Linked DNA regions of Macaca mulatta. The main gene of each other region encodes a partner of the protein of the gene in region 4 in a complex. Links are inferred from orthologs where the notes say so. Each region holds a gene or a part of one and is shown on either strand. Other genes may lie near its edges.

Evidence for each region.
Region 1: the proteins of MED7 (region 4) and MED31 are in contact, whole or in part, in a cryo-EM structure (PDB 7EMF), measured with the Homo sapiens proteins. The link is inferred for Macaca mulatta from reciprocal best matches to the Homo sapiens genes MED7 and MED31. Residues at the interface, in NP_001094286.1 of Homo sapiens: Met15, Gln16, Tyr17, Ile18, Lys19, Tyr21, Thr22, Asn25, Ile26, Lys33, Pro34, Pro35, Pro36, Pro37, Ile38, Lys39, Asp40, Tyr42, Met43, Met44, Phe45, Gly46, Gln48, Gln50, Asp52; in NP_057144.1 of Homo sapiens: Asn14, Arg15, Leu16, Arg17, Phe18, Gln19, Leu20, Glu21, Leu22, Glu23, Phe24, Gln26, Tyr33, Phe36, Leu37, Tyr42, Asp45, Ala47, Phe48, Asn50, Tyr51, Tyr54, Tyr57, Glu62, Tyr63, Lys65, Tyr66, Lys68, Tyr69.
Region 2: MED7 (region 4) and MED25 share a complex: the UniProt entries of both Homo sapiens proteins name them as parts of the mediator complex. The link is inferred for Macaca mulatta from reciprocal best matches to the Homo sapiens genes MED7 and MED25.
Region 3: MED7 (region 4) and MED12 share a complex: the UniProt entries of both Homo sapiens proteins name them as parts of the mediator complex. The link is inferred for Macaca mulatta from reciprocal best matches to the Homo sapiens genes MED7 and MED12.

What each region holds. Positions count from the first base shown.
Region 1 is NC_133421.1:8,130,467-8,137,966, forward strand, and holds the start of MED31 (mediator of RNA polymerase II transcription subunit 31), read right to left. Parts: upstream 4,159-7,500; 5' UTR 4,059-4,158; coding exon 4,031-4,058; intron 3,245-4,030; coding exon 3,167-3,244; intron 2,887-3,166; coding exon 2,790-2,886; intron 50-2,789; exon of another isoform or gene 1-49. Other genes in the region: C16H17orf100 (uncharacterized protein C17orf100 homolog), read left to right, coding at 4,443-4,820. UniProt on the Homo sapiens protein: Component of the Mediator complex, a coactivator involved in the regulated transcription of nearly all RNA polymerase II-dependent genes.
Region 2 is NC_133424.1:62,292,320-62,299,019, reverse strand, and holds part of MED25 (mediator of RNA polymerase II transcription subunit 25), read right to left. Parts: intron 6,500-6,700; coding exon 6,379-6,499; intron 5,533-6,378; coding exon 5,370-5,532; intron 5,231-5,369; coding exon 5,100-5,230; intron 4,797-5,099; coding exon 4,709-4,796; intron 4,613-4,708; coding exon 4,419-4,612; coding exon of another isoform or gene 4,369-4,418; intron 4,023-4,368; coding exon of another isoform or gene 3,974-4,022; coding exon 3,845-3,973; intron 3,371-3,844; coding exon 3,285-3,370; intron 3,207-3,284; coding exon 3,149-3,206; intron 2,999-3,148; coding exon 2,891-2,998; intron 9-2,890; coding exon 1-8. UniProt on the Homo sapiens protein: Component of the Mediator complex, a coactivator involved in the regulated transcription of nearly all RNA polymerase II-dependent genes.
Region 3 is NC_133426.1:77,580,259-77,587,485, reverse strand, and holds the start of MED12 (mediator of RNA polymerase II transcription subunit 12), read right to left. Parts: upstream 3,922-7,227; 5' UTR 3,893-3,921; coding exon 3,794-3,892; exon of another isoform or gene 3,717-3,793; intron 3,275-3,716; coding exon 3,170-3,274; intron 2,963-3,169; coding exon 2,771-2,962; intron 2,635-2,770; coding exon 2,478-2,634; intron 1,669-2,477; coding exon 1,487-1,668; intron 1,313-1,486; coding exon 1,202-1,312; intron 1,078-1,201; coding exon 823-1,077; intron 442-822; coding exon 295-441; intron 134-294; coding exon 34-133; intron 1-33. UniProt on the Homo sapiens protein: Component of the Mediator complex, a coactivator involved in the regulated transcription of nearly all RNA polymerase II-dependent genes.
Region 4 is NC_133411.1:166,002,269-166,008,985, forward strand, and holds the end of MED7 (mediator of RNA polymerase II transcription subunit 7), read right to left. Parts: intron 4,872-6,717; 5' UTR 4,855-4,871; coding exon 4,156-4,854; 3' UTR 2,279-4,155; downstream 1-2,278. UniProt on the Homo sapiens protein: Component of the Mediator complex, a coactivator involved in the regulated transcription of nearly all RNA polymerase II-dependent genes.

The DNA.
Region 1 (7,500 bases), on a different chromosome or scaffold from region 4:
CCTCGCATGCTGAGTGTGCTGTTCCCCTGGGCTCACTGTTCTTTCTCTATACTTTGTCTCTGTGTCTTATTTCTTTTCTCAGTCTTTGGTCTCCGCCTGACGAGAAATACCACAGGTGTGGGGAGGCAGGCCCCCTTCAGGAAGAAAGCAGATAAAGCCAAAGTTGCACAAGTGATATGCAAATGACTCAAGTGTGGAAAATAGGATACTACAGCAATGATTCTAAAACTTTAATGTGTATATGAACCACTTCTTAAAATGCTGATGGATTCCTTAGGCCTGGAGTGGGGCCTGAGCTCTGCATTTCTAAAAAGCTCCCAAATGAAACCAATGCTGATGATGTGAACACCACATTGAATAGAGGGCTTAACACATGCTTCTAAGATAGTAACTTCCAAGACATTAAAGGTTTGCTATCTACGCAATGAAAATACACAGTTGCTCTAATTGTTGGTTGCTTATGCTAGAATGCTCTATTCACACCTGCCCTGGCTAACTCCCTTTCATGACAGCATTAGTAGTTAAAATGAACCAGGATGTAAGTTCCAGCCGGGTGGCCTTCAACAAGGTACTTAACCTCCCTAAGGTTCAGTTTCTTCAACTGTAAAATAATGTGACAACCAAGAGAATGGTCTCAAGCAGCATTTAGTCAGTAACTAGAATTCAGACATGCAGTGATTACATCAGAATACATTAGATGACAGTAAAGAATCGTACTCTGATAGGCTACATGTCCACAAGATGAAACAGCGGCAGTATAAAAGGGAAGTTCCACATTCGGTGTTTTTAAAAATAAACAAGATAGGGAGAACATTGATGAAAATAACTGAAGGATTTTAATTGACGTAATGCTCCCAGCAAGTCAACAATGTGATCCTCTCCCACCCCCACCCTCAAAAGTAACATAAGGTATATGTCCACGTGAAGAAAAGAAAGGACCTCTGGCCCACTGTACTCTGACCACACATGAAGGCCTGTGTTTAGTTCCTGGCTGAACTGCATAAAGTACCACTGCCAAACATCCAGCGGAGGGAACCTGAACTCCGGGACACCACGGCACAACGGCTGAGGGTAGTTGAGAAACACAGATGGAGAGAGATGTTATAGTGACACCTACTGGCTACCAACGAAGCAGGCCAAGTGGTAGAAAGTGTCCCTTCCACCAGCTGGAAAGCAGCTAGTAGTGACAGCTGCTCTCAGCTTCAGCCAGTTGTTGACTTGGGAGAATTAAGATCTATGGTTACTAGATCTTCCAGATTTGAAAGAGTAGCGGGAAATCTGCATTTGTTATATAAAACTTTCTGATCTTCAAATGTTGGCAAGTATTAAAAAAAAAAAAAAAACTAAAATCTTCTGCAGACTGAATAAAATGCCCAAAAGGGGCTAATCTGCAATCTCTCTTGAATGTAAGTATCTGGAAGGTTGTTGTCCTCAAGAGGGTATAGAATGGTTCTAGCTCAATCCAGGGACAACCAAGTTATCAAAATTAATGTCACCAGTAGTGGGACAAATAGACTTCATGTGACTGCAGATAGATGAAGGATAACACTACAATCAGACTAGAGCTACAAGGAGAGACATTATATCACAATATAAGGAATAACTTTCTAACATCTGGCTAACAATCAAATCAGCTGTCCCTGACAGAGTAACATGGGCTCAGTGAAAACCTCCAGAGTGTAGATGACCATCTCTCGGCAACGTTTTGGGTAAGATTAAACTTGTTGGTGGCTAAGGCTTCCAACACTGAGTCTGTAAATCTACATACATACAACATTTGTTGAAATCTATTTTTCTTAAAAGTCTTTTCTTTGGATTATTAAATGGATAAAAAGCCAGAAAAGGTGCAAAGGGTCCTGAAGGCAATATAAGATGTATATGCTTCGTGAGTCAATTGTTATTGGACACAGAAAAGTGACTTCGAAACAAGTTTGAAACATTTTCCTCTCAAACTTTTTTTTTTTTAAGGTTCACTATTGCTTTCTACCTGCTTAAGACAAAGCAGGGATGAGTTCAAGGTGTTTTTTTTTTTTTTTTTTTAATCATTAAAAGGGAATAGGTTTGTGGTTATATGCTTCTTGCAATTCAGTAAGCCTTAACACAAAAGTGTCGCTGAATGACCTGAATGGTAAATATATATATATATATATATAAATGAGTTAATGCATATGAAGCATTTAGCACTGTTTCTGGCACATAAGAGGCCTTAAATAAAAGATAGCAACTCTAAGACTCAGGTTAACATCACCTCCTCCAAATAACCCCAGAAACACCTTCCTTACAGATACCCTCTTTTAATTTCAGCCCATGGCTTATGTCACTTCATTTACAGACTGTGAGTTCTTCGGGACCAGAAACCTGGTGAGATGGGGAGGGTGGTGAAAGACAAGGTCAGACAAGGCAGGGCCAGATCATATAGGGCTTTAGCCCAAGAAAAGAGACTGGATTTTATTCTGCATGGTATGGAAAGTCATGGAAAGGTTCTAAGCAAGAAAGTAAAGTGTTCTGATTTATATTTTTAAATGACTAAGTTGGTTTCTGTGTAGAAAGCTGTTTTGCTTGGTTTGGTTTGGGGTGGGGGGGGGGCAGGAAGGTAAAAGTGGAAGCAGAGATAACCAGGGAGTAGATTACTGCAGTGATACAAGTTAGAGATGAGAGTGTCTTGTGTTAAGATGGTGACAACGAAAAGAAGTGGAGAGATTCCAAATACATTTTTGCCAATGTGAAACGAAGAAATCTATCATATCATAAAGTATACACATGCTTAGGATTATAAAAATTAAACTTACTTTAGATACTTGGCATATTCTGGGTCTTTCCAGTAAAGCAAGTATTTAAGATAATTAACAAAAGCTTTGTCTTTGAAGTAACCTCTTTGGGCAAGAACTGAAAAGCATTAAAAAAAAAAAATGTCTGTAGGTCAAACCAATCTTTAAACTATGCTTTGTTACCCCTAATGTAAAGGATCTATTTACATAAAACCCCCACCACCAACACACATTGAATTCAAAACACAAATCCCAGTGCGCAATTATATCTATATACCAGCATAAGTGTAATGTCATTCAATTGAGAATGTGTAAAAGTAGATACTATTTTGAATTGCAACTCTTCTGTCAGAAATCATTAGTAGCTACTCAATTTAATGAGGTGCTTAACAACTTACAATTAAGGTAATTTGGGTTGGCTAAACATTGCACAAATTCCAACTCCAACTGAAACCGAAGTCGATTTCCAGCATCATCTAGGAGACAAGACAGCAAAAATCATGGAAAGTAAGGGTCACTGTATATAATACTGATTTGTAGTAAGGAAACAGCAATAAAGAAACCTGACTAATGCCGAGATGGTCTTCCTAAACTGGGAGTTGGGGGAGATAAACCTTTCTTCGAAATCTAAGAAAAGCGGAGCCCTGATTAAAAGGAGTTAGAAGTTTCTCTAAAATTAAAGAGAAATCATCAAAGAAAGCAGCAACACAAACGGAGAATTCCTAAGATCACTAAGGTAGGCTGTAACAACTATGGCTTCCCCTATGTTAATAATGCGTTATAACAATTGTTAACAGTGATTAAGTTTTGCAAAAGCTACGTGCTGAATCAGTTAAGAAAAAGTTAGGATGCAAGAGACTGCGCAGAGCCTAAAAGATCATGGAGCGTATGCATATAAGAAGCACCAGTAGCAGAATGACACATAAAGTCCGGCGACGATATTTCAAACTTAGGCAAGCTCATGTGAGAAGCAGAAAACCAATCAAGGAGGAGACGGTTTAACACACAAGTCCTCTCCCTTAGTCTCACCCACGCCGGGGAGCTGGTAGGGTGGTGTCTGAATAGCAAAGATGTGCGAACAAACCAAATTAGGAAAACTGCAAAGAGTACCTTAGTCTTTCTAGACGCTACAAGAGCCTTCTCACCTCCTTGTCCAAATATTAACCCTGCCGAGAGTAAGGCCTGGAAGGAGGCCACGGGGAAGCCGTCTGGACCGAGGGGAGTTCCATCTGCGAAGACTCCAAGATCAGAGAGCTACTCACCTGTCTCCATAGCGACGGCAGCGGCCATAACAAACGAAGACACCAAAACGCCACCAGCCTGACCGAGCAAAAGCCCAGAGTGGCGGGGGAAGTTCCGGAAACCACGGCTCTCTCTTCCGGTCCCGGGGCACTGTGGGATATGGGGCCGGGCGGCTCCGCCCATCCCGCCAGCCCTGGGATGGCTCCACCCGCGCTGGCTCCAAAATAGCGAGGGGGCGGGGCCCGGGCCGTGGGAGCGCCTGAGGGGCAGGAGCCCAGTGTTTTTAGCCTTGGAAGGATCATGGTGTTTCCACGTCATCGTGTTGTGGCGCTCCCGGCTATGGCAGTACCGTAGTTTTCCTCTCTTCTGCCTGCGGTGACCGTTGGGCTGGGGGGTGCCCCGAGGCCTCCTTGGCCCCCTCACGCCGGCAGAATGGCCTCAGCCCGAGGGGCCAAGCAGTCTTCTCCCCGGGTGGGGACCACCCGCTACACAGAGACGTCCACAGTCCGCGTGGAGACCTCGTCCCACCGTGTGGAGACCTCGTCCCACCGCGTGGAGACGTCGTCCCGGCGGGTGGAGACCTCCCAGCGCCGCAGCGAGGGGCCCTCCCTCTCCCCCTTGGGGAAGCGGCTCCCTGGCATCCTCGAGGCGTCCTCCCGGCACGTGGAATCCTCCTCGCAGCGCACGGAAACGACGTCCCGCCACATCAGGGCCTCGTCCCTGAGGGTGGAGACGGCTCTGCACTGCGCGGAGAGCCCAGCCCCGCGGGCCAAGCCGGCCGCCCGCCAGAACGAAAAACCGGCCCGATGAGATGCTGCTTCCCAAAGGCCACCAAGGGGCCAGGGCCCTCAGCCAGGACAGAAAGGCCTCCAGTTGCCAGCCAGCCAGCCAGCTGCCAGGTGGACCAATCATTTTCGGTTTCATGGAAACAAACCATAAATCAATGGAAGAAACAGCCAAGCCGCAGTTTCTGAACACAGCCAACGTTTATTGACCATCCTGCGTCTTGGACCAGCCTACTTTTGACCCAGTGAACTATTTTCACTTGAAGCCAGCACAAAAGATTTTCATGCCCAGGATGCTGTCTAAATTGGCTTGATGGACAAAGAGGCTGTTTGAGCCTCTGAGCCAGGTGAGTTTGGGATCCACAGCCCTCAGAAGACCTTCACCCCTTAGGAACAGAGACCAAACTGAAATCATGACCTGTGGAATGATTCCATGCCTGCTAGAAACTTGAGGGGCAAGGAACAGACTCATAAATTATTAATGGCCTTTGTTTATGTTTCAAGGTAACTGGTGGTTTTCTTTATGCTAAGTCTTTGTACCTGGCACTCCCATCCATACACTTTTTAAAGGTAGGTTAGATGTAGTTAAAAATGACAGTAAACCCACCAGCAAGCAAAAATAATCTTAGAAGAGAAAGTGAGAGGAGGCCATTGAAACCTGGTCTGAGGTTTGAAGAAGATGGAGAAGAGTCATATTTATTGAGAACCTGCTCTGTGCCAGGTACTAGATGTTCCTCCACTTACAATGGGGTTACCTCCCATTAAAACTATTGTAAGTTGAAAATACGGTAATTTGAAAAGGCACTTAATATCCCTAACCTACTAAACATCATAGCTTAGCCTAGCCTACCTTAAACATGCTCAGAACACCTAACGTTGAGCAAAATCATCTAACAGAAAGCCCATTTTATAATAAAATGTTGAATATCTCATGTAATTTATTGCATACTGTACTAAAAGTGAAAAACAATGGTTGTATGAGTGCTCAAAGTACTATTTCTCCTGGTCGCTTTTGTACCATTGTAAAGTCGAAAAATCATAAGTCAAACCATCTTAAGTTGGGGACTGCCTGTATTCTGGGAACTTGGGCTATAGCAGTAAAAAAAACCAAAGTCCCAGCTGTAGTGGAGCTTACACTCTGGTGAAAAGGCCGACAAGCAATGACAAAACGAGACAATTTTCTATTGTGATTAGCACTATGAAGGAAATATATGGGTCATGTGATAGAGAATGGAAGTAAGAGGCTTCTTTTGATAAAATGGTCGGGGAAGTCCTTGCTGATTAGGTAACATTTAATCTGAGATATGTGTGAATGAACAGTGATCTGGAACATGTGCATTCTAGGCAGAAGAACAGCAAATACAAAAGCTAGAAGGGAACAAGCTTTGAATGTTCAAGGAACAGAAAGAAGGCCAGTGTGGCTGGAGGGAGAGAGAGGCGATTATATAGACATGGAAGCAGAACTGAAGGGAGGAGTTAGAAGCAAGCAGGGGCCAGTCCACAGAAGGTCTTCTAAGCCACAGAAAGGAATTTGAGATTTATTCTAAGGTCAATAGGAAAACATTGAAGGGTTTTCAACAGAGGAATGATATGATGCCATTTACATTTTATGTGGGACAGTGGTCCTCAACTAAGTGTGATTTTGACCCCAGAGGATATATGGCAACCTCTAGAGACATTTTAGTTTGGTAGACAAGTTAGGGGGAGTGGGTAGCACATTAGGTGCTACTGGCACCTAGTGGGTAGAGGCTGGGGATGCCACCTCATATCCTACAGTGCACAGGTCAACACCCTTCCCTCTGCCAACAATGAAGAATCACTGGTCCCAAAATGTCAATAGTGCCGAGGCTGAGAAACACAGTTCTAGCAGCTTGGAAAGCTAGAGCATGGTCCATTAGGACAGCATGCCACTTCTACATAGCAGGATTGTAGTGAGACCTAAGAAACAGTCATGGAAGAGGGTTGACTTTAAAGGTAAAGAGAAATCATTAAAGAAAACAGCAGCACAAATCGGACACAATACCTACCACTTGTGGGCCACTGTGTAGGAATTTTAACAGTGATCACTAAGGTAGGCTGTAATAACTGTGACGTCCCCTATTTTAATAATGCATTGTAACAATTGTTAACAGTGATTAAGTTTTGCAAAAGCTACCTGCTGAGTCAGTTAAGAAAAACTTAGGATGCAAACTGAACAAGAGACTCCAAAGAGCCTAAAAGATGATGGAGCATATCATATGTAAGAAGCACAAGTAGCAGAATGATACACAAGTCTGGCGACGATATTTCAAACGTATGCAAGCTCATATGAGAAGCAGAAAACCAATCAAGGACACACTTTAAGACACAAGGAGGACATGCTTTAAGACACAAGTCCTCTCCCTTAGTCTCACCCATGCTGGGAAGCTGGTGGGGTCGTGTTTGAATAGCAAAGATGTGCGAACAAACCAAATTAGCAAAACTGCAGAGTACCTTAGCCTTTCTAGATGCTACAAGAGCCTTCTCTCCTCCCTGTCCAAATACTAACCCTGCCGAGAGTGAGGCCTGGAAGGAGGCCCCGGGGAAGCGGAAGAAGCGGTCTGTGACAAGGAGAGCTCTGTCTTCGGAGACTCCAGGCTCAGAGCGCTACTCACCTGTCTCCATGGCGATGGCAGGGGCCATAACAAGCAAAGACACCGATTCGTCACCTGCCCAACAGAGGAAAA
Region 2 (6,700 bases), on a different chromosome or scaffold from region 4:
GACAACAGCTCTTCAGAACCATTTATGCCCTGAAAGAGGGAGCCCTGACCCCCTCCCCACTCGAGAAGATTCTAGAGGCCCCCTGGGCAAGGGGAGGTGAGGTTTCTGCTATAGAAGGTTGAGGAGAACAGGTGTGCTGTGGGCTGCTCCAGAGACAGAAACTGAGGCACTCAGGGCAAGCTGGGGTTCTGGCTGCGCACTGAGAGGGAAAGTGGAGAGAAAGCGCTGGAGCCCAGCTCTTCAACCTTTGGCCATCACCTGCTCCTCATGGGATGCCCCAGTTTCCTTGGGCATTAAATGCCACGGCTGCCTCCTTAAAGGGCTGCTGAGAGTCACAGCCGTGACAGAGAGGCTTAGATGCAGAGCGCGGTCGGTACCCACAGGCCTGTGATCAATGGTGGTGTCGGACCCCGGGCCTCAAGAGATCCTCCAGGCCTCAGCATCGGCCAGTGTACCCCACGGGGAGTGCTCCCACATCACAGGGTCGCTGTGACTATGGGATGTCCGATCCACAGCAAGAGCCCTGCCCGAGGCTCAGCCCACAGGAAGCACCCAGGAAACATCACTGGTCATCAGGGGGGTAACACATGGAGCATTCAGGGCAGGGGCTCCTGAGGGAGGCGAGGCTGACCTAGGCCAAGTGAGCTGACTTCTCTGAGCCTCAGTTTCCTGCCTGAGACAGACACTGCTAGCTGCCTAATCCAAATCCAAGTGTCCTCCTCCCCTGCATTCCCAATGCCACCTGGGGCTGCAACATGTCCCAGCCCCAGACAGTCATGGATATCTGCTCCCAGCAGCCTCCCATCAACTAGGTGCTGCCCAGTGGCCTAGGTCTGGGCCAGGAGGTGAAAGGGAGGCCTGCTCGGGAATCTGAGAAAGTCTCTGCTGTCTTGAAGAAAGGGAAATACACAGCCCCCTTCCCCTCCTTCATGAAGGCATACGGAATGCCTGGAGCCATGGGAGCTACCCTGTGACTATACAGGAGAGGTCAAGAGAACCACAGGGCCCTGCCCCTGATGTCACAGACCTATGAAACCAACCCCAATAGCTGGCCCCCTCTGGATGTCCTGTTCTGTGCAAAAAAATAAATGCCTGCTCCTACAACGCCTGTCCTCTCAGAACTCAGCTGCCACAGTGTGGCCATGTGGACAGGCCATGTGCAGACACTGGGATGGCCGGTCCTAGCCAAGCCCCAGCCAACAGCCAGTGCTGTGTGAGGAGCTGTTTTTGTTTGTTTTGTTTTGTTTTTTGAGACGGAGTCTCGCTCTGTCCCAGGCTGGAGTGCAGTGGTGCGATCTTGGCTCACTGCAAGCTCCGCCTCCCGGGTTCACGCCAATCTCCTGCCTCAGCCTCCGGAGCAGCTGGGACTACAGGCGTCCGCCACCACGCCCGGCTAATTTTTTGTATTTTTAGTAGAGATGGGGTTTCACCGTGTTAGTCAGGATGGTCTCAATCTTCCTGACCTCGTGATCCGCCCACCTCGGCCTCCCAAAGTTCTAGGATTACAGGCATGAGCCACCACGCCCGGCCTATGAGGAGCGCCTATTTTGAACATCCAGCCCAGTCAAGCTTTCAGACGACCAGAGTCTCAGCTGCCATCTGATGGCAATTCCATGAGAGTCCCCAAGCGAGATGGCCACTGAGCCCAGGTGACTCACAGAATCATAAGAGAAAATTTTTTCTGAGTGCCCCCAATTATCTATTTGTTTGGAAAACTATGTTATTTGCAGCCAGAAGCACTCCTAACTCTCAGGAATGCCTTCTTCACACGGTTCTGTGAGGATCCCATGAGGTGATCCCTAAGGTCCTCTTTCGTGCAGGAATGCCTGGTGCACAGAAGTAACTGATCTGCTCCTTCCCCGAGTTACAAGGTGAACTGTGTCTCCCAGAAAGCTATGCTGAGGCTGGGTGCGGTGGCTCACACTGGTAATCCTAGCACTTTGGGAGGCCAAGGCGGCAGATCACTTGAGGTCAGAAGTTCGAGACCAGCCTGGCCAACGTGGTGAAACCCTGTCTCTACTAAAAAATACAGAAATTAGCCAGGCATAGTGGCACATGCCTGTAATCCCAGCTACTCGGGAGGCTGAGGCAGGAGAATCGCTTGAACCCGGGAGACGGAAGTTGCTGTGAGCCAAGATTGCACTACTACATTCCAGCCTGGGTGACAAGAGTGAAACTCTGTCTCAAAAAACAAAACCAGAAAGCTAAACTGAGGTTCCAGTCTCCAGCACCTTTTCCAGACTCTATCTGGAAAGAAGGTCTTTGCAGTTGTAGTAAGATGAGATCAGGAAAATGGGGCCTAATCCAAAATGATTGATGTCCTTATAAGCACAGGGACACAGAGATACAGAAAATGCCACATAGAGACACACACAGAGGGAAGACAGCCACAGGATCAAGGAAGACCCTGGAGCGATGCCACCTGCAGCCTGGGGTTACTGGCTAGAAGAGGCAATGAGGAGGCCTTCCCTCGAGCCTCTAGAGAGAGCGCGGTCCTGCCAACACCCTGACCTTGGGCTTCTGGCCTCTAGAACTGGGATCGAACACATTTCTGTTGTTTTGAGCCCCTCTGCTTGTGGTAATGTGTTACCGCAGCCACAGGAAACCAACACATCCCATAAACCCATGCCAGAATCAACAGCTTCCTCCTAACTGCTCCAGTCACATCCAGCTCACATTTTTAATGTGGAATATCCCTCAATCTGGTGCATACGATGATTATAATAAAAGTCAAGGCTCTAGAAGAAAGGCGAGGAACCTAAGGGCATGAAGTCCACCCAACCATCAAAAACGGCTTCCATGGGCCCAGGCACTCTGGGATTCCCTTCAAAGGTCAGCAGAAAGCAGTACAAGAGTTAATGCCCCTCGGCCCCCAATGCCCTGGACTCACGAAGCCATTGCCCATGATGCGGTAGAGGCCTTTGAGAGACTCCAGGTCCTTGTTGGTGAAATGGAACTGGACCATCCTTGAGTTCCGGAACAAAGGGCCCAGGGTGGTCTGCGGGAGACACAGAAGTCAGCTGGCATGTTGGTGTGGGCAAGTGAGGTGGGGACACGAGGCAGGGAGTGGGGGTAGGGCAGGGAACAGGGAAGAGACAGTAGGGTGAGGGCTGCCTGGCAGCAGGGCTGGCCCTCCACCACCACTCACCAGCAGCTGCTGGGGGATGAGCTGCATGATCAGCTTCTGGGGCCACTGCTCAGTCTTCCTGGGGGGGTGATGCCAGGAGAGGTGTGAGGAGGGGGCCAGCCCCAGCCCCACCGCACCCCACCCGACAGTCACCTACAGGTTCTCGCCATGATTCACATAGACCTGGCAGGGCAGTGACCGTGTCAGCTTGGTGTTGGCATCCACTGAGGCAGGTTTGGGTTTCTGAGGGGGAAAAAGAGCATGTCAAAGTAAAAAGGGCCATAAGCCTCAGTCCCCTTGAGCCCTCATGTCCTAGCCTGCTGGCCCCAAAGCTCAGGATGTTCCCCAGTTTAAGTCCCATGAGCCCCTGGCCCCTCCTCCAGACCAGCAAACCTTCAATTCCTCAAATGTTAGGGCTACGTGCCCGGCCCCTAAATCCCACAATCCACTGTGCCCCAGGTGCTACATCACCTGGGCCCTTCTCTGGGCCCCAAATCCTAGGCTTTTCTGGGTTCTTTGCATGGGGACTCTCTTCTGTACCGCAAGTCCCACTGCGCCATGGGGCTCCTGGCCTGGTCCCGGATCCCACGGGTCCAGCCCAAGGAATGCCCCCAAACCCAGCATTGCAAACCCCATGCATGTGACCCATGAGTCCCACATGCCCAGCCCCATGGCCCCAGGAGTCCCAAGTGCCCAATGGACCCTCAGGCCCCTCACCTCCTGCCACTCGAGGACCCCGCTCCATGCCAGAAGCTTATTGGAGACTGACTGCTGCCCACCGAGGGCTGGGGCTCCTAGCTGGGCTGGGGAAGGGCCACTCACCCCTCCTGGGGCCACAGTGCCTGCCTGCCAGAGAGGAGGAAGGAGGGCCATGAGAATGGGGAAAGAGGGGGGCCTCCAGGGGCCATCCTGTGAGGGCAAACCAGGAAGAAGGAAAGGCCCCTTCTTCTGCTCATCCATTCCCAGAAGAGCACTTGGCCAGCCCCAGGACCCGAAATGCTTGGATGCTGCAGGATTCCAGGACTCATAAGCTGTGTGATGCCCCGGACTCCCAAACCCAGGGATTCCTTGGGTTTCTCAGAACAGCCCTGACCCACCTGGAGCCATGAGCCTCCCCATTCCGTCCCCAGACCCTCATCTCAGGCATCTGCAGCACACGTACCACGAACCCCCAAGGCCCCAGGGCCACCAGATCCACACCCCCCTGGAAGGCAAATGACTCATCCTCTAACTGTCCTAGCTGTGGGCAGCAGGAGGAAGGAGTGGGGGCAGGAGGTGTGCAGGCACCTACCATGGACGGTGCCCCGGGCTGCGCTGTGGGAGCCAGACCGGAGCCAGGGGCCACGGTGGAGACCAGACTGGGCTGGGAAGCAGGTGGTGGCTTGGGGGCACCAGGGGGTCCTGGGGGTAGTTGGGGAGCTGGGGCCTGGCTGAAGGGGGGACCCACTCCGGGAGCAGCTTGCTGGAGAGGGGTGATGGGCGAGACTGTGGGAGAGACCAAGGGAAGAAGTGAGGAACAAGTGTGTGGAGGGAGGCCTGCCTGGCCCCTGCCCGCCCCTTCATTCTCGCCCCAGGACTCACAGCGAGGGCCCAGCCCAGCCTTCTGGTTCTTGGCGGCCTCCACTGCATTCTGGGCGGCCACCTGAGCTGCACTCAGGTTCCCAGGAACCTGTGGGTAGAAGGGAAGAAGGAAAGGGACTGGTGAGGACCATGGCCCTCCAATCCTGGTGTCCCACGAGGTCACACCACCCACGGCCCCACAAGGCACAGCTGCCCCAGCTGGGAGAGCTCAGAAGCTCACGACACCCATCACCTAGCAGATGAGCTTCCATGGCCCCAGGAGTCCCACCCTCCCAATGTCCCATGGGACTCCCATCATCCCACAAGCTCCAACATGCAACTAGATCTCTCCCCAGGGGCCAGGGCTCCAGCAAGTCCCCAGAAGCATGTCCCTTCCTGGAAACATCCATACCTGGTACTGCGGGGGGACGGGGGGCAGAGGCTGCTGGGGAGCTGCTGAGAGAGTGGCACCGGAGGGTGCGGCAGGAGGCAGGGGGACTGGCTGCTTTGGCTGGAGGGGGCCTGGGGCAGAGCCACCCCCAACTGAGAGCAGGAGGGATGGCCAACCCCGGAAAGAAGGGATTCAAGATGGAGAAAGGGGAGAGAAATCCAAAATCCAAGTCAGAGGGAGCTGGGAAACACGTTGAGCCCCCGATCCCCGCGCGCGGTGCCCAGGCCTCACCGGGCAGCACGAGCCCCCGAACCAGCACCATGTGCCTTGGGTCCTGGCTCACATCTGTCGGAGGCTGCAGCGGCTCTAGCAAGGCCGGGGGGGCTGCCTTCTCAAACAGAAGCCGAAGTGCAGGCAGCTTCCGGGGAGAGACGATGGAGAAGTGGATCCCCCGCTATAGGAGAGGGACCCAGCAGTCATGACGGGCCCCCTCCATAGGGGTGTTGGGGCCAGCGCCCAACCTACCACAGCTGCTGTGTGGCTGGACAGCACCAGTCCTACAACCACAATTCCCACTGGGCTTTGAGGCAGGAGACCCTGAAACCTGGTATTGCCTGCCCCGGGAGACTCTACGTTCTGGTTTTGTCAGTAAGACTAAGTGGGCTAGGTGTGGAGGCTCACGTCTGTAATCCCAGGATTTTGTGAGACCGAGTCAGGCAGATCACGTGAGGCCAGGAGTTCGAAAGCAGCCTGGCCAACATGGTGAAACCTCGTCTCTACTAAAGATACAAAAATTAGCTGGGCGTGATGGCGGGCGTCTATAATCCCAGCTACTCGGGAGGCTGAAACACGAGAATTGCTTGAACCCAGGAGGCAGAGGCTGCAGTAAGCCAAGATCACACCACTGCACTCCAGCCTGGGTAACAGAGCCAGACTCTGTTTCAAAAAAAGAGAGTAAGCAAAGCTGGTCGCCAGTCTGTGACTATTCTGTGACTGAGTCCAGGCCCCCAGTGCCTCCTCTCTCAGACCCAAGAGTCCAGACCCCAGTGCCTCCTCCCTCAGACCCAAGAGTCCAGGCCCCCAGTGCCTCCTCCCTCAGACCCAAGAGTCCAGGCCCCCAGTGCCTCCTCCCTCAGACCCAGGAGTCCAGGCCCGCAGTGCCTCCTCCCTCAGACCCAGGAGTCCAGGCCCCCAGTGCCTCCTCCCTCAGACCCAGGAGTCCAGGCCCTCAGTGCCTCCTGCCTCAAACCCAAGAATCCTGGCCCCCAGACCCTCCTCCCTCAGACCCTGGAGTCTTCACCTCCCCAATCTGCTGCACGAGATTCTCAGTTGTGCATCCAGAGTACGTGGTGCTCTCAACAGCAGGCAACAGGTATGGAGGCGAGTTGCAGATGAGGAGGCAGACCCGGTGCGTCTGGCCACTACCAGGAATGAGAGAAGACATGGAGCCGGCAGCAACAGGGGCCCTGAGATGGAACCCAGACCCAGCACCAGTGGAGGCGCACATATTCAGCCTCATATGGAATCAGAAGCAACGCCCATAATTTATTACAGCTGACAACACTGAGGCCCTGAGAGGTTCTGGAATGTGCTCTCCGTCACCCAGCAGGCAGAGCACGCAG
Region 3 (7,227 bases), on a different chromosome or scaffold from region 4:
CATACTTCCTATTATCTGTTCTCCGACACATACCTGCAGTAGCTTCCTGGCATTTATCGAAAGACCAGCGAACTTCAACTGCCTGTCCCCGCTCCTTGATCTGCTGCTCGATCTCCCGCAACTTTGCACGGACCTGCAATGTTAAAAAGGAAGGCTATAAGGATGTACCAAGGCATACAAAAGGCCAGAGCCCCAGGCTAGAAGAATAGTACCAGACTCCAAATCACTATTTCTGAGAGAGCACTTTAGCCTCATAGCCCAATCTGAGAGTACCAGGCGAGTGGTCAGACATACCTGCTGAGTGAAGGCACTGTTACCCTCTGGCATGGGCAGGTTGGAGGGGGCAATAGGCAAGTGGTCAAGTGGTGAGCCGGTCTTAATTCTGCTATCAGTCAGTGAGTAGTGCCAAACCAAGGCACTAGGACAACACAGGAGGATGGTCTGCCAGATAGAAACAGCTAAGTCCAACTCGTTCACATGGCTACCCCTCTGGAATCCCATTCTAAGACCAAACCCGTAGATTCCAGATCCAAAGTTATTCTGACTGGGCCCCCAAGACAGGCATCACTCCACCCGATCCCCTCCCTTCACTCACTTTCCTAAAAGGCTCTGGGCCTACTATTTAGCCCTGGAAGGGAGAGAGAGGCTGGTCAAAACCCCCAAAGGGGACTAACACCCCATTACCAAGAAACCACCACCTCCAAGCAAGTACTCAGCACCTACTCCCACATCCAATTTGGAATTACCCCTATACTCTGGGATGGGCACCCAATTCTTCTCAGGTTATCTCTCAATGCTTCCTTGGGCCCGCCTAGTACCTACCTGTAGGATACAGCTGAGGCCAAAAACCAGGGGCCGGTGCTGAGGGCACATAAGCAGGTCACTAAAGGGAGTCGAGGGGGTGCTGCTAGTTGGGGGCTGAGGAGCAGGGGTGGTGGGTAGCGAGCTTGTTGACTGAGCAGATATAACATGAGATGAGTGACTGCTCACACCATCTAGCTGCAGGGCCAGTCTCCGTGTACAAAAGTAGGCAAGGCGGCGGGACAGGTACGCAGACTGAACAAATTCCCCAGAGTACTGTGAAGACATGACCATCAGAGCCCCTAGTTCTCTCCAGGGGACCCTGCTCTGACATTTTATTCTTCCTTAAATCCTTCTTAGACTCCCCCTGCCCCACCACCACCAAAATTCCAAGCCTTACTCGGAGAAGCAGGGGCAGGAGCAGTTTAAGCAATTCATCTTCTCCAGGGCGGATCTTCTCAAAACACTCAAGCACCCAGGTCAGGAACTCATGTCTGTCCAGCATTCCATCCTATGGGTACCAGGGGAGGGAAGAGGGGACTATTAGAGATGAAGCAGATAAAGTAAATGAAAAGATGAAGAGAACCACAACTGGGGCAAGGTGGCAAGCAGATTCTGTTCTCTATTGGCAGAGTACAAGTTCAGGCTCAACCTAATGCCCCACACAGCATGCCCTACTCCCTACCTGAAACATGAACATGGCCAGCTTCTCAGTGTAATCCCACTGCCGGATTGCCACCTCTACATCATGGGGCAAGGGCCCTATCGTGGAACCACAGCCCCCACCTCCTGCAGGCCCTGGCCGGTAGTATTCAGCCATCTTCTGTAACTGCTCCCATAAGTACTTGGTGATGATCTGAGTCCATTCTGGAGGAAACAGGGAAAAAGGGCTATTTGATACTATCCTTCTGCTTAGAATTTCCTTCTACTGGCCGGTGCGGTGGCTCACGCCTGTAATCCCAGCACTTTGGGAGGCTGAGGTGGATCACGAGGTCAGGAGTTCGAGACCAGCCTGGCCAAGATGGTGAAACCCCGTCTCTACTAAAAATACAAAAACTAGCCGGGCGCAGGGGTGGGCACCTGTAATCCCAGCTACTTGGGAGGCTGAGACAGGATAATCACTTGAACCCGGGAGGTGGAGGTTGCAGTGAGCCAAGATCCTGCCACTGCACTCTAGCCTGGGTGACAGAGCAAGACTCTGTCTCAAAAAAAAAAAAAAAAAAAAGAATATCCTTCTACTTAGAATACCTTACCCCACTCCCAATCACCCACCATATTTGTAAATTCAGTTCATCCTTTGTCTCTAGTCAAATCCCACCTTCCTAAAGCCTTTCTGGGTATCCCCATAAGAAAGTAATCTTTTGTCCACTCAAAGAACCTTCTGCTCCTAGCTTGACATTCACCACCTTCTATATTTAATTATGTTATTTGTACATATACCTTAGCAGCCCTGTTAGACTACTAGTATCCTAGGGGCAGAGATTATGCACTGGACGTTTTTGTAGACCAGTATATGTGCACAGTAGACACTCAAATTTCTCAGTGTTTACTGATCAAGCAAATGCAAGAAACAAGCAGAAACAAGGAATCTAGATTAAGAAGGAGGATGTTTGCAAGGGTGTCTCTATCCCTCCTTGAAGCCATCAGCCGTACACCTGGTGTTAGGAGTTACTCACCCATGAAAGGGTCAACATGTCTCTTCTTAACCTTGGTCTCAGAGATTGCTGCATAGTAGGCACAGGTCATCTTAATGAGCCAGGCAGCCCGCATCACAGGCACTGTGTATTTGGCTAAGTACCCAAACACTTCTTCCTTCTTACTGAAAATGGGGACCTGGATGGACATTGCAAATAGTGAGGTCTCTATTATCCCCATGAGCTGACACCCATGTAGCTTAATATGGGAATAGGAGGATACTTGGTACCCTATGCTCCCTCCTTGGCCTGAAGGACAGGAAACAGTACCTTACCTTTTTGGCTAGTTGCGTGAGTGGCTTGGTGCCAGCCAAGTCAGTGAACCAAGTATTTATGGCACTCTGGGATCGTGCAGTCACCAGCCAGAAGTTGTCCTTCTGGTTCACTTGGGGCTTCCTGCGACCAGTGTCAGGGAGGGTATTACAACGTAACTTCTCTGCAATAATGCTGCTGAAGTTGGAACTGATCTGAGGGAAGAAAACTGTACCTCAGGGTGGGAAGAAGGGGCAGACAGGTGGCCTGCCTTTTGCTGGGCAAATGCCAATGAGACAGCATTAGGTCATGAAGGCAAACTCAGCCACTTAGGTTGTCCCTATAAGTCTTCCCTACCCAGGGCCTTTGCTCCTTCTCAGATTCTTCCAGCCTTTTCCTTCAGCCTGGCAGAGTTGTCTCACCTTGGCAGGATTGAAGCTGACGTTCTTGGCACTGCCATGTTCATCCCCAGAGACAGCAGGCTGGTTATTGAAACCTTGTTTTACATTCAAGGCCGTCAGTTCATCCTGAGGCAGGAAAGCGGCGTTTAGTTGTTTTTTCCTTAGGGGGAGGGGGAGGGGATGGGAGAGTAGGGCAGGAGAAGCGAAGGAACAAGGTGAAAGGGCAGGAGGAGGGTTCCGTGTAGCACAGATCGTTACTTAAAGCTGGGCCCTTACATTCACTTGGACCCCACCGTCACCCCCATGGTCACTACGATTCCCAATCACCCAGGGCGCCCTCAAACATCACTCTTCTCTTGCGAACATCCGAGCAGCCGTACCCCACCAAGCTGTCTCAGACAACTTTCTGAGATGTGTGTGGAGGAGGGCGCTTCTGGTGCGGCCCCTACACCACCCCCTATTCATACCTTGGAACCCCCCACCGCGCCCCGTCCTGCCCTCCCACGCCAGCCCACTTTACTCTTCCCCCTTTCGGGACTTTCGCTCTCACCGAACCGCCCCGCCCCCCATTCCCAGACGTCAATGCCTCCTCCTAGGCTGACCGCGTGCCCCCGGCCCTTCCAGAGCCCCGATTTTCGAACGCACCTCCTTCTGTTTGGGGTCCTGAGGGTAAACATCGGGAGGCCCCAGCCGCGGCCGCTTCAGGGGCCGGTGTTCGTAGCTCAAGATCCCGAAGGCCGCCATCTTGCCCAGCCCGTAGCGCCGGAGGCGCCAGCAGGGCCAGGCTGACTGGGGGAACGGGAAGGGGGAGAGGGAGCCGAAAAGGGGGGCGGTGGTTGAGAGGACGGCGGCCGAGAGACAACAAGGGGGCACGTTAGAAACTCTCGACCATTGCCGGAAACTACCGAGGGAAGCCGAGGGACGCCGGGAACCATCGGACAATACCGACCGCAGAGGGGGTGGGGCCTGGCCCGGTGGGGGCGGAGCTCCGTGCCCCGGGAGTTTTTCGGCGGCGGCGGCGGTAAGTTGATTTCACTCAGCAAAAATCTACGAAACGTTCCGGAGGCGCAGAGTGAGCTGGGGATGCAAACCAGGGAAGAGGGAGGCCTCTGTGGTGCTGAGTTCTGACTGGAATTCGGTTCCCAGAGCCTAGCTCGGTTTTGGCCTAGAAAAGTCTTCAATAATATTTGCATTGGTTAGGAACTCCGTCTATTACAAATCAGTTCGTTTCTTAGTTCCGGCATCTGAAAAATAGGTGCGCTAACACCTCCTTCAAGGGGCTATTGTGAACATTAGAAACTACGTATGCATGAGAAAGAACCTATTAAACCCTGAAAGGCTGGCTCTAATCCCTCAAGGTCTACCATCGAGTTGTCTAACCTTTTTTGTTTGTTTTTTCTGCCCAAGGGTACCGCAGAGTAACTTTTTTGATTCACAAACCCTTAAAGGTGCTAATGAAAGCTATGGACCTTCTTCCCAGAAATAATAATAATATGCATATATTGACATGCAAAATGTTACTTTAGATTCTTAGATCCCCTGAAGCTCATCCATGTATCCCCTAAGGGTCCATGAACTCCAGGTTAAGAACCCTTGGTCTAGCGAAAGAGGCACCTACTGTGTCAGATGCTTTTCAGACACTATCTCCTTTAATCTGCTCACAGCCTCATGAGTTAGGGATTATTATTGGCTCGATTTTGCAGATGAGGAAGCTGGTTTTCAAAGTGTGAAAATTCACTTACCCAGTATTATACAGCTACTGAGTAACAGAGCTGGCACTAAGATTCTCAATTCCAGAGCCAATATCCTATTGTCGTATTGCTATTTGTTTATTTATTTTGAGGCAGATTCTCCCTCTGTCACCCAGGCTGGAGTGCAGTGGCGCGATCACGGCTCACTGCAGCCTCAACCTCCTGGACTCCAGCGATCCTCCTGCCTCAGCCTCCCAGTAGCCGGGACTACAGGCGTGCGACACTGTGCCGGCCTTGTATTGCCTTCTAGAGAAAAGACAGCCAGTGTACTATAACAAAAGTAGCAAATAACAATAAACAAAAATAACACCAGTAACAAAAATAAAATGCTATTGAATCACAATGGAAAGAAAAAGTAATTCAAGGCGGGAGCGATGGCTCACGTCTGTAATTCCAGCACTTTGGGAGGCCAAGGCGGGTGGATCACTTGAGGTCAGGAGTTCAAGACCAGCCTGGCCAACGTGGTGAAACCCCATCTCTACTAAAAATACAAAAATTAGCTGGTGTGGTAGTGGGCGCCTGTAATGCCAGCTGCTTGGGAGGCTGAGGTAACATTTGAACTAACTCTGAAGGATATTTTTATTTTTGTTTATTTTGTTTTATTTCTTTATTATTTTATTTATTGCTTTTATTTATTTATTGCTTTGCTCTTGTTGCCCAGGCTGGAGTGCAGTGGCATGATCTCGGCTCACTGCAACCTCCGCCTCCCAGGGTCAAGTGATTCTCCTGCCTCAGCCTCCCCAGTAGCTGGGATTACAGGCTCACGCCATCACGCCTGGCTAATTTTTGTATTTTTAGTAGAGACGGGGTTTCTCCATGTTGGCCAGGCTGGTCTCGAACTCATGACCTCAAGTGATCCTCCCACCTCAGTCTCCCAAAGTGCTGGGATTACAGGTGTGAGCCACCACGCTCAGCCTGAAAGATATTTTATTTATTTATTTATTTGTTTATTTATTTATTTATTTTGAGACGGAGTTTCATTCCTGTTGACCAGACTGGAGTGCAATGGCGCGATCTCAGCTCACTGCAACCTCTGCCTCCCTGGTTCAAGCGATTCTCCTGCCTCAGACTCCTGCGTAGCTGGGATTATAGGCATGTGCTGCCATGCCTGGCTAATTTTTTCTTTTCCTTTTTTTTTTTTTTTTTTGTATTTTTAGTAGAGACGGGGTTTCTCCATGTTGGTCAGGCTGGTCAGGCGATCCACCTGCCTCGGCCTCTCAAAGTGTTGGGATTACAGGCGTGAGCCACCGACCTGAAGGATATTTTTAAAAGATAATTTTTCTTTTCTTTTCTTTTCTTTTCTTTTCTTTTCTTTTCTTTTCTCCTTCCTTCCTTCCCTCCCTCCCTCCTTCCCTCCTTCCTTCCTTCCTTTCTTCTTCCTTCCTTCCTTCTTCAGGGTCTCACTCAGTGGCCCAGGCTAGAGTGCAGTGGTGCAATCTCACTTCACTGCAACCTCCACCTCCCGGGCTCAAGCAAATCTCCCACCTCAGCCTCCCAAGTACCAAGGACCACAGGCGCAAGCCACCACACTTGGTTAATTTTTGCTTTTTTTTTTTTTTTGGTGGTGACGGGGTTTTGCTGTGTTGCTCAGGCTGGTCTCAAACTCCTGGTTTCCAGCGATCCACCCACCTTGGCCTCCTAAAGTGCTGGGATTACAGGCGTGAGCCACAGCACCCGGACTAAAAGAATTTTTTTTTTTTGAGACGGAGTCTCGCTCCGTTGCCCAGGCTGGAGTGCAGTGGCGCGATCTCCGCTCACTGCAAGCTCCGCCGCCTCCCGGGTTCATGCCATTCTCCTGCCTCAGCCTCCCGAGAAGCTGGGACTACAGGCGCCTGCCACCATGCCCGGCTAGTTTTTTTGCATTTTTTAGTAGAGACGGGGTTTCACCGTGTTTGCCGGGATGGTCTCGATCTCCTGACCTCGTGATCCGCCTGCCTTGGCCTCCCAAAGTGCTGGGATTAGAGGCGTGAGCCACCACGCCCGACCCTAAAAGAATTTTTTAGAGCAGTTTTAGGTTCACAGCAAAATTGAGAGGAAGGTACAGAGAATTCCTATATACTGTCTGCCCTCACACATAGATGGTATATTTGTTACAGTTGATGGACCTACCTTGAACATCATTACCCAAAGTTCATGGTTTACATTAGAGTTCACTCTTGATGTTATCTTATACAGTCTGTGAGTTTGGATAAAAGAGTAACATGTGTCCACCATTGTAGTATCTTACAGAATATTTTCACTGACCTACAATCTTTTTCTGCTCCACCTATTCATCCTTCCCTCTCCGACAACCCCTGGCAACCACTGATCTTTTTACTGTCTCCATAG
Region 4 (6,717 bases):
AAGATTAGAGTTATAAGCACAGAATCTCCTTAAGATACTCACAGAAGTCTAAGCTAAGACATAAGCACCTTAATATGTTCAAAGGGAACTCATAATTTCCATCTATAAATCTGTTCAGCCCAGTATCAAGTAGTATTTACAAGCATGGACTTTAGCGTCAAAATATTGGCTCCACTCTTGGTTTCACTACTTATTTGCCTACATGACTTAGTAACAACATGAGGGAATGGAGAGGCAAAGAAGTATGAAGGTTGAGCGCTCAGGCTTTGAAAACTAGAATGCCTAGTTTCCATTCTGGCTTTGCCACTCACTAGTCAGGTAATCTTGGGTAAATTATGTAACTTCCCTGACCCTCCACTTCCTCATCTGAAATGTAAGTGTAAAAAGAATACTGATTTCATTAAATAGCTGTAAGGCTGAAATGACTTTATTTATACAAACAGCTTCAAACATTGCCAGCCACTTACAGCCATAAATCCCAACAGATTTAGAAGGTTCTTCATAGGATTATTCCAAGGACTAAAGAAGAGAATGGCTACAAAGCACTTAGCACAATTTGTGGTACTTAGAAAGCTATCAAAGGACAGCTAGTACCCTTCCTACTGATTCTCTGTATTTTAGTAAAATCTGATGAGAAATCAATTGCAAACATAATTTCTCATCAGATTTCAAATAAAAACCCAACTCCTTCCCTTGACCCTCTAAATCATATACATCTGTCCTCCATCTGCTTCTCAAGCTCCAACCTCCTCCCTCACGATATTGTAGCCATCATAGCCTTTCTCATCCAAGTTATGCCAACTTTGTATCTCCTCGTGAGATATTTGCACCTGCCGTTCCCAGTAATCTTGGAGCTCAGTGCATGAGTTGAAGCTGCCTTCTTTTATGTTTTTGAGACAGGGTCTTGCTCTGTCACCCAGGCTGGAGTACAGTGGCATGACCGTGGCTCACTGCAGCCTTGACCTCCTGGACTCCAGTGATCCTTCTACTTCAGCCTCTGGAATGGCTGAAACCACAGGCATGTGCCATCACATCCAGCTAATTTTTACATTTCTTTGTAGAGACAGGGTCTCCCTATGTTGCCCAGGTGGGTCTCGAACTCCTGGACTCAAGTGATCCTCCCGCCTCAGTCTCTCAGTGGTGGAATCACAGGTGTGAGTCACCATACCTGGCAAAGTTGTCTTCTAAAGTCCTTAACAAATGTGAGGTTAGGCATGGTGGTTCACTCCTGTAATCCCAGCACTTTGGGAGGCTGGAGGATTACTTGAGCTCAGGAGTTTGAAACCAACCTGGGTAACATAGTGAGACCTCATCTCTACTCAAAGAGAAAAAAAAAATTTTAGGCCAAGAATGGTGGCTCACTCCTGTAATCCCAGCACTTTTGAGAGGCCCAGGCGGGCAGATCACGAGGTCAGGAGATCCAGGCCATCCTGGTCAACATGGTGAAACTCCTTCTCTACTAAAAATACAAATTTTTTTTTTTTTTTTTTTTGAGACGGAGTCTCGCTCTGTCGCCCAGGCTGGAGTGCAGTGGCGCTATCTCGGCTCACTGCAAGCTCCGCCTCCCGGGTTCCCGCCATTCTCCTGCCTCAGCCTCCCGAGTAGCTGGGACTACAGGCGCCTGCCACCTCGCCCGGCTAATTTTTTTGTATTTTTAGTAGAGACGGGGTTTCATTGTGTTAGCCAGGATGGTCTCGATCTCCTGACCTCGTGATCCGCCCGTCTCGGCCTCCCAAAGTGCTGGGATTACAGGCTTGAGCCACCGCGCCCGGCCAAAAATACAAAATTTAGTGGGCATGGTGGCACGTGCCTGTAGTCCCAGCTACTCGGGAGGCTGAGGCAGGAGCATCGCTTGAACCTGGGAGTTGGAGGTTGCAGTGGCCCCAGATTGCGCCACTGCACTCCAGCCTGGCGAAAGAATGAGACTTCATCTCAAAAAATAAAAAAAAAAAGTTTTAAGAGATAAAAAAGAAGTGAACATGTACACATGCCTTGAAAAGAGAAGATAATGTGGACAAGGTGATTTGAACAGACAATAGAAACATAACTGGAAGCAAGATTCTTCTGAAGGTGCTGTAATGGCTGAATGGTTAAGACACAAACTATCACCTTCAAAAATCAATTCGTTTTCTTAGTTACATTTTCCTTCGCCCTTCCGACACATCCAACACTTAAACTAGCATCAGGCATAGAGGTGACCACAGTAAGTATTCATCAAATGAATACCATGAATAAATGAATAGCTGGGGAAAAACTACTCTCATAAAGAGAACACAGATTTGTACAGTTTATTTTTGCTATTTATATTAAGTTTACACGTGCCTGATCTGTAGTGGATATCTCGTTGTTAGTTCAGCACCACTTCCTTCCTCTGAGACAGACTGACTCTTCCATACATAGACATAGTGGGGACTGTCAAATTATTCTGGGAGCCAAGTCCCAGTTGATTTGCCCAGTTGGAATCAAGTATGCAATCCCTAATTCCTCATGTCTAGGTCGTTAATTAACCTCATTTTTTTTCGTATTTGAGAGCGAACTCCCAGACAGTGGTAAACATAGAAATGCTTAACACATGGGAACTGTTAGTTGCCATGTTCTCCACCTACATCATTAAAGAAGTTCATCAGTAAAGAGAATGAAGCTCACAGGAAGGATGGTCTCCAGGGCTACTAACTCAAAACTTCAGACACTTTCTGTCCTCCTCATGGTTTATATATTCAACTTATCCTTCAATCAACATACCCTATATTCTTTCCTTTTAAAATTAAATAGCAATGGAGAGAAGTTCTCACTATGTTGCCCCCGCTGGTCTTTTCAACTTTCTGGTTGAAAAGGTCTGGGATGGAGCTAGAGAAACTTCATTTATTTTTTATTTTTCTGAACCTATGGATTATACTAAAACTTTTATTTCTAGTGAGTCCCCAAATGGTACCAATGCTGCTGGTCCAGGACCACACACTTTAAGAACCACTGGCCTACATTAAGAAAATGGCAGGCAAAGATCCTCAGAAACAAAGTCAACTCTCTACTAACACCTTGGTGGAAGAGGTGATGGACAGTGGGGAGAAGAAAGTGCTCACATAAAGTCCAATTAGTGAGGGGCAGAGTGGAGTTAATGAAAAGAAGACTTAGTCCTCACAGTCATTCAAAGACCCAGACTGACAATCTTTGCCATCTTCGGTGGCTTCCAAACTTATCCTGGATATGACCATGCAACCAGCAGTTGGGAGAAAAGAATGGAGGATCATGCAAGAAATGTTTATGGGGCAAGCCTGGATTCCTATGCCCACATTTCACTGCCTAGAACTTAATCATATGTTCTCACAGAGATGCTGGCAGTACGGAAATGTCCCTGGTTGGGTTGCCACATCTTGGCAACGTATCTTCAAAGAACAAGACTCTCTGGTAGACACCTAGCAGTCTCTGCCGTCAAACCCCTTTCCCATTGTGGACTTAAGCAAGTCTGGGCTTAGCTTTAAAGAAAATGTGTAGCTAATGACATAGACATCTTAATTACTAAAATTAATGTCTGTAACTTAAAATGGCCAAAGGACTTATTACCTGAGTGATAAAAACAATTCATGGGACTTGCCTGCAAGAGTCCATTCAGGATAGGGAGAAAAGACTGAGATAGTGGGTTTACAGGAGCAGTCATGAGGAAAAAATAAAGTTTCTGTTTTATAATTCTTCTGGGCTCCTCTCTATTAACATGTTATACTACCTTTTGCAGCTTAAGCAAAATTTTTAATGGAATAAGTTTAAAGATATCATAGTTTTACATTTATAGATTGATATCCATTATTCCTCTATCATTCTTAAAGCAAATGATAAATCCCCTTTTCAAAGACGAAAACTTTTGCTATTACTGAGGTTATCATCAAAGTTTTACTGCAACTCCAAAACATAGAAATGTCCCATACAACAGCGGTGAACACTTTGCTTTTTAAAGTGATTATTCTTAGTGCAGGGGTACTCATTTGTCTATGCTTGTTATACAGTGAAATTACTGCCTATGACATCTCATAATTGAAAAAGTTGGAGTCAAGATTAAAGCTGTTTACATTTTTACTGAAACCTCTCTTAAGACTGTCCAAAAGAAAATAAACTAATATATGAGGCTATTTATCAAAAGGAAAAAAGAAACATAAACATCTTTCATGGTCTTTCATTCATTTCATCAATTAGGACACACAAGGCAGCATCTTTCTCTATAATCTGATCTCTCCTATGACCTGAATTTTCTCTTTGTTCATTCTGTCCAGTACAATTGTTGCTATCATCAGCATCCATTGGTTCAGTTTTTACTCTCATTCCTGCTTCTGAATGAGGCAAATCATCAGGCAAAGAAGCCAAGCAATTCTGAATCATTTCAATTACTCGTTCTAGGTGCTTTTGAAACCTCTCAGCTGTTTCAAGCCGTTGACGTTTCTGGACCTCCATCATGACTCTCAAGGTCTCTCTTGCTTGGTGGGGTCGGTATTCATTTATAAGATGATGCACGTGTACAAAAAGCAGCTTAAGATCTTCTAGTTTCTCTTCTCGTTTTATACTCCCAGGGCTCCTTATTAAAATATCTAAAAGGTCCAAGAAATTAATAAGGATAGACATATTAAGTTTTCTCAGTTCTTTTTTGTGATCAAACTGCATAGGATGAAGCCGTTCGATGCCCTGACTTTCCAAAGGGCGGATGATAAGATCATCGCATTGGAACTGATTGCCAAACATCATGTAACTATCTTTTATTGGAGGGGGAGGCTTGGGAGCTAAGCCTTCTTGAATATTTTCATCTGTATATTCCTTGATATATTGCATTGGAGGTGGTGGAAGTGCACTTACTTGCTGTGGTTCACCCATTGTGGACTATCAAGAACCTATGGACACAGACCAAAGATTTATTAGAGCCACAAAACAAACCTGTTACATTTCATAACTACAGACAGAATATTTTCTTCCTTTTCTTCCAGTAGTTTGGGGTCCAAGACAAGATGATCTCCTTGGTTTCTAAAACTAACATTTATGATAGGTAAAGTTTGCCATATTTTCTAAGTAGGCATTATATTCTCAACCATTCACATATTTTCCATTCTCTCCCTAATAATTTCATCAGCATGAAAAAATCTGTAGCATCTTCTGATCTCTAAAGAAAATCTTCCACCGGGTGCGATGGCTCACACCTGTAATCCCAGCACTTTGGGAGGCCGAGGCAGGCGGATCACAGGGTCAGGAGATCGAGACCATCCTAGCTAACAGGGTGAAACTCTGTCTCTACTAAAAGACAAAAAAAATTAGCCGGGCATGGTGGCGGGTGCCTGTAGTCCCAGTTACTCAGGAGGCTGAGACAGGAGAATGGTGTGAACCCAGGAGGCGGAGCTTGCAGTGAGCCGAGACTGTACCACTGCATTCCAGCCTGGGCGACAGAGCGAAAATCTGTCTCAAAAAAAAAACAAGAAAATCTTCTGGATTCCACACCCTTCACCATTTATGCCCCCATTTCTCTACTCCTCCATAACCAAACTACACGTTGTCTCCCAATCTCATATCAGAATCACTTTTGCTTTATGTTACAGATTGATTTCCAATAGCAAACACTTACTTGTATCTCTCATAAACACTGACAAAATTAACACTGCTAAATCCTAAAGACATGGTATTATCCAAAGTTCCTGAATGAAATGATTCAGTTCCATATCCTTTTTGTCACAGTAAACTATGCAATTTTATATGGACACATTAACTTTTTTTTTTTTTTTTTTTTTTTTGAGACGGAGTCTTGCTCTGATGCCCAGGCTGGAGTGCAGTGGTGCGATCTCAGCTCACTGCAACCTCCGCCTCCTGGGCTCAAGCAATTCTCCTGCCTCAGCCTCCCAAGTAGCTGGGATTACAGGCGCACACCACCATGCCCGGCTAATTTTTGTATTTTTAGTAGAGACAGGATTTCGCCATGTTGGCCAAATTGGTCTCTTAATTCCCCACCTCAGGTGATCCGCCCACCCTGGCCTCCCAAAGTGCTGGGATTACAGGTGTGAGCCACCGCGCCCGGCCTGTATGGACACATTAACTTCCCTACAACTATCACAGAAATTTCAAACCCCAGGTTCAAACCCAGTATCTTCTATGGCCATAATAACCTCTACTTACTCTACCTTAAGCCTAGATATACCATCCAATGAGAAGATTCTGAAGTGCTCCTTTACACTGGTATTATCAAAGTTTCAAGATATAACACCCTCTAACATCAGGTGGGGCAAGTATTCTATTAGAAGCAATATTATACTTAGAATTCGTGAGGTACTAAGGGCAGGCGTGGTGCAGCCCTGAGTTTCCACCATGCCACAGTAGTGCATAGGATGATGCAGCCTCGACCTCCCAGGCTCAAGCCATCCTCCCACCTCAACCTCCCAAGCAGCTGGGAGTACGAGGCAAATGTCACCACGCCCAGCTAATTTTTGTATATTTTGTAGAGACAGAGTTTTGCCATGTTACTCCGGCTGGTTTTGAACTCCTGAGGTCAAGCAATCCTCCTGCCTTGGCCTCCCAAAGTGCTGGGACTACAGGTGTGAGCCACCACTCCCAGCCAACATTTTAAAACTTATAACATAAATTCAGATTACAGAAAAAGTGCATGAATATACAAAGAACACTTCATATTCTTCACTCAGATTCTCCAAATGTTAACATTTTCCTTCATTTGCTTTATTGGTTTCTCATTCCTTCACC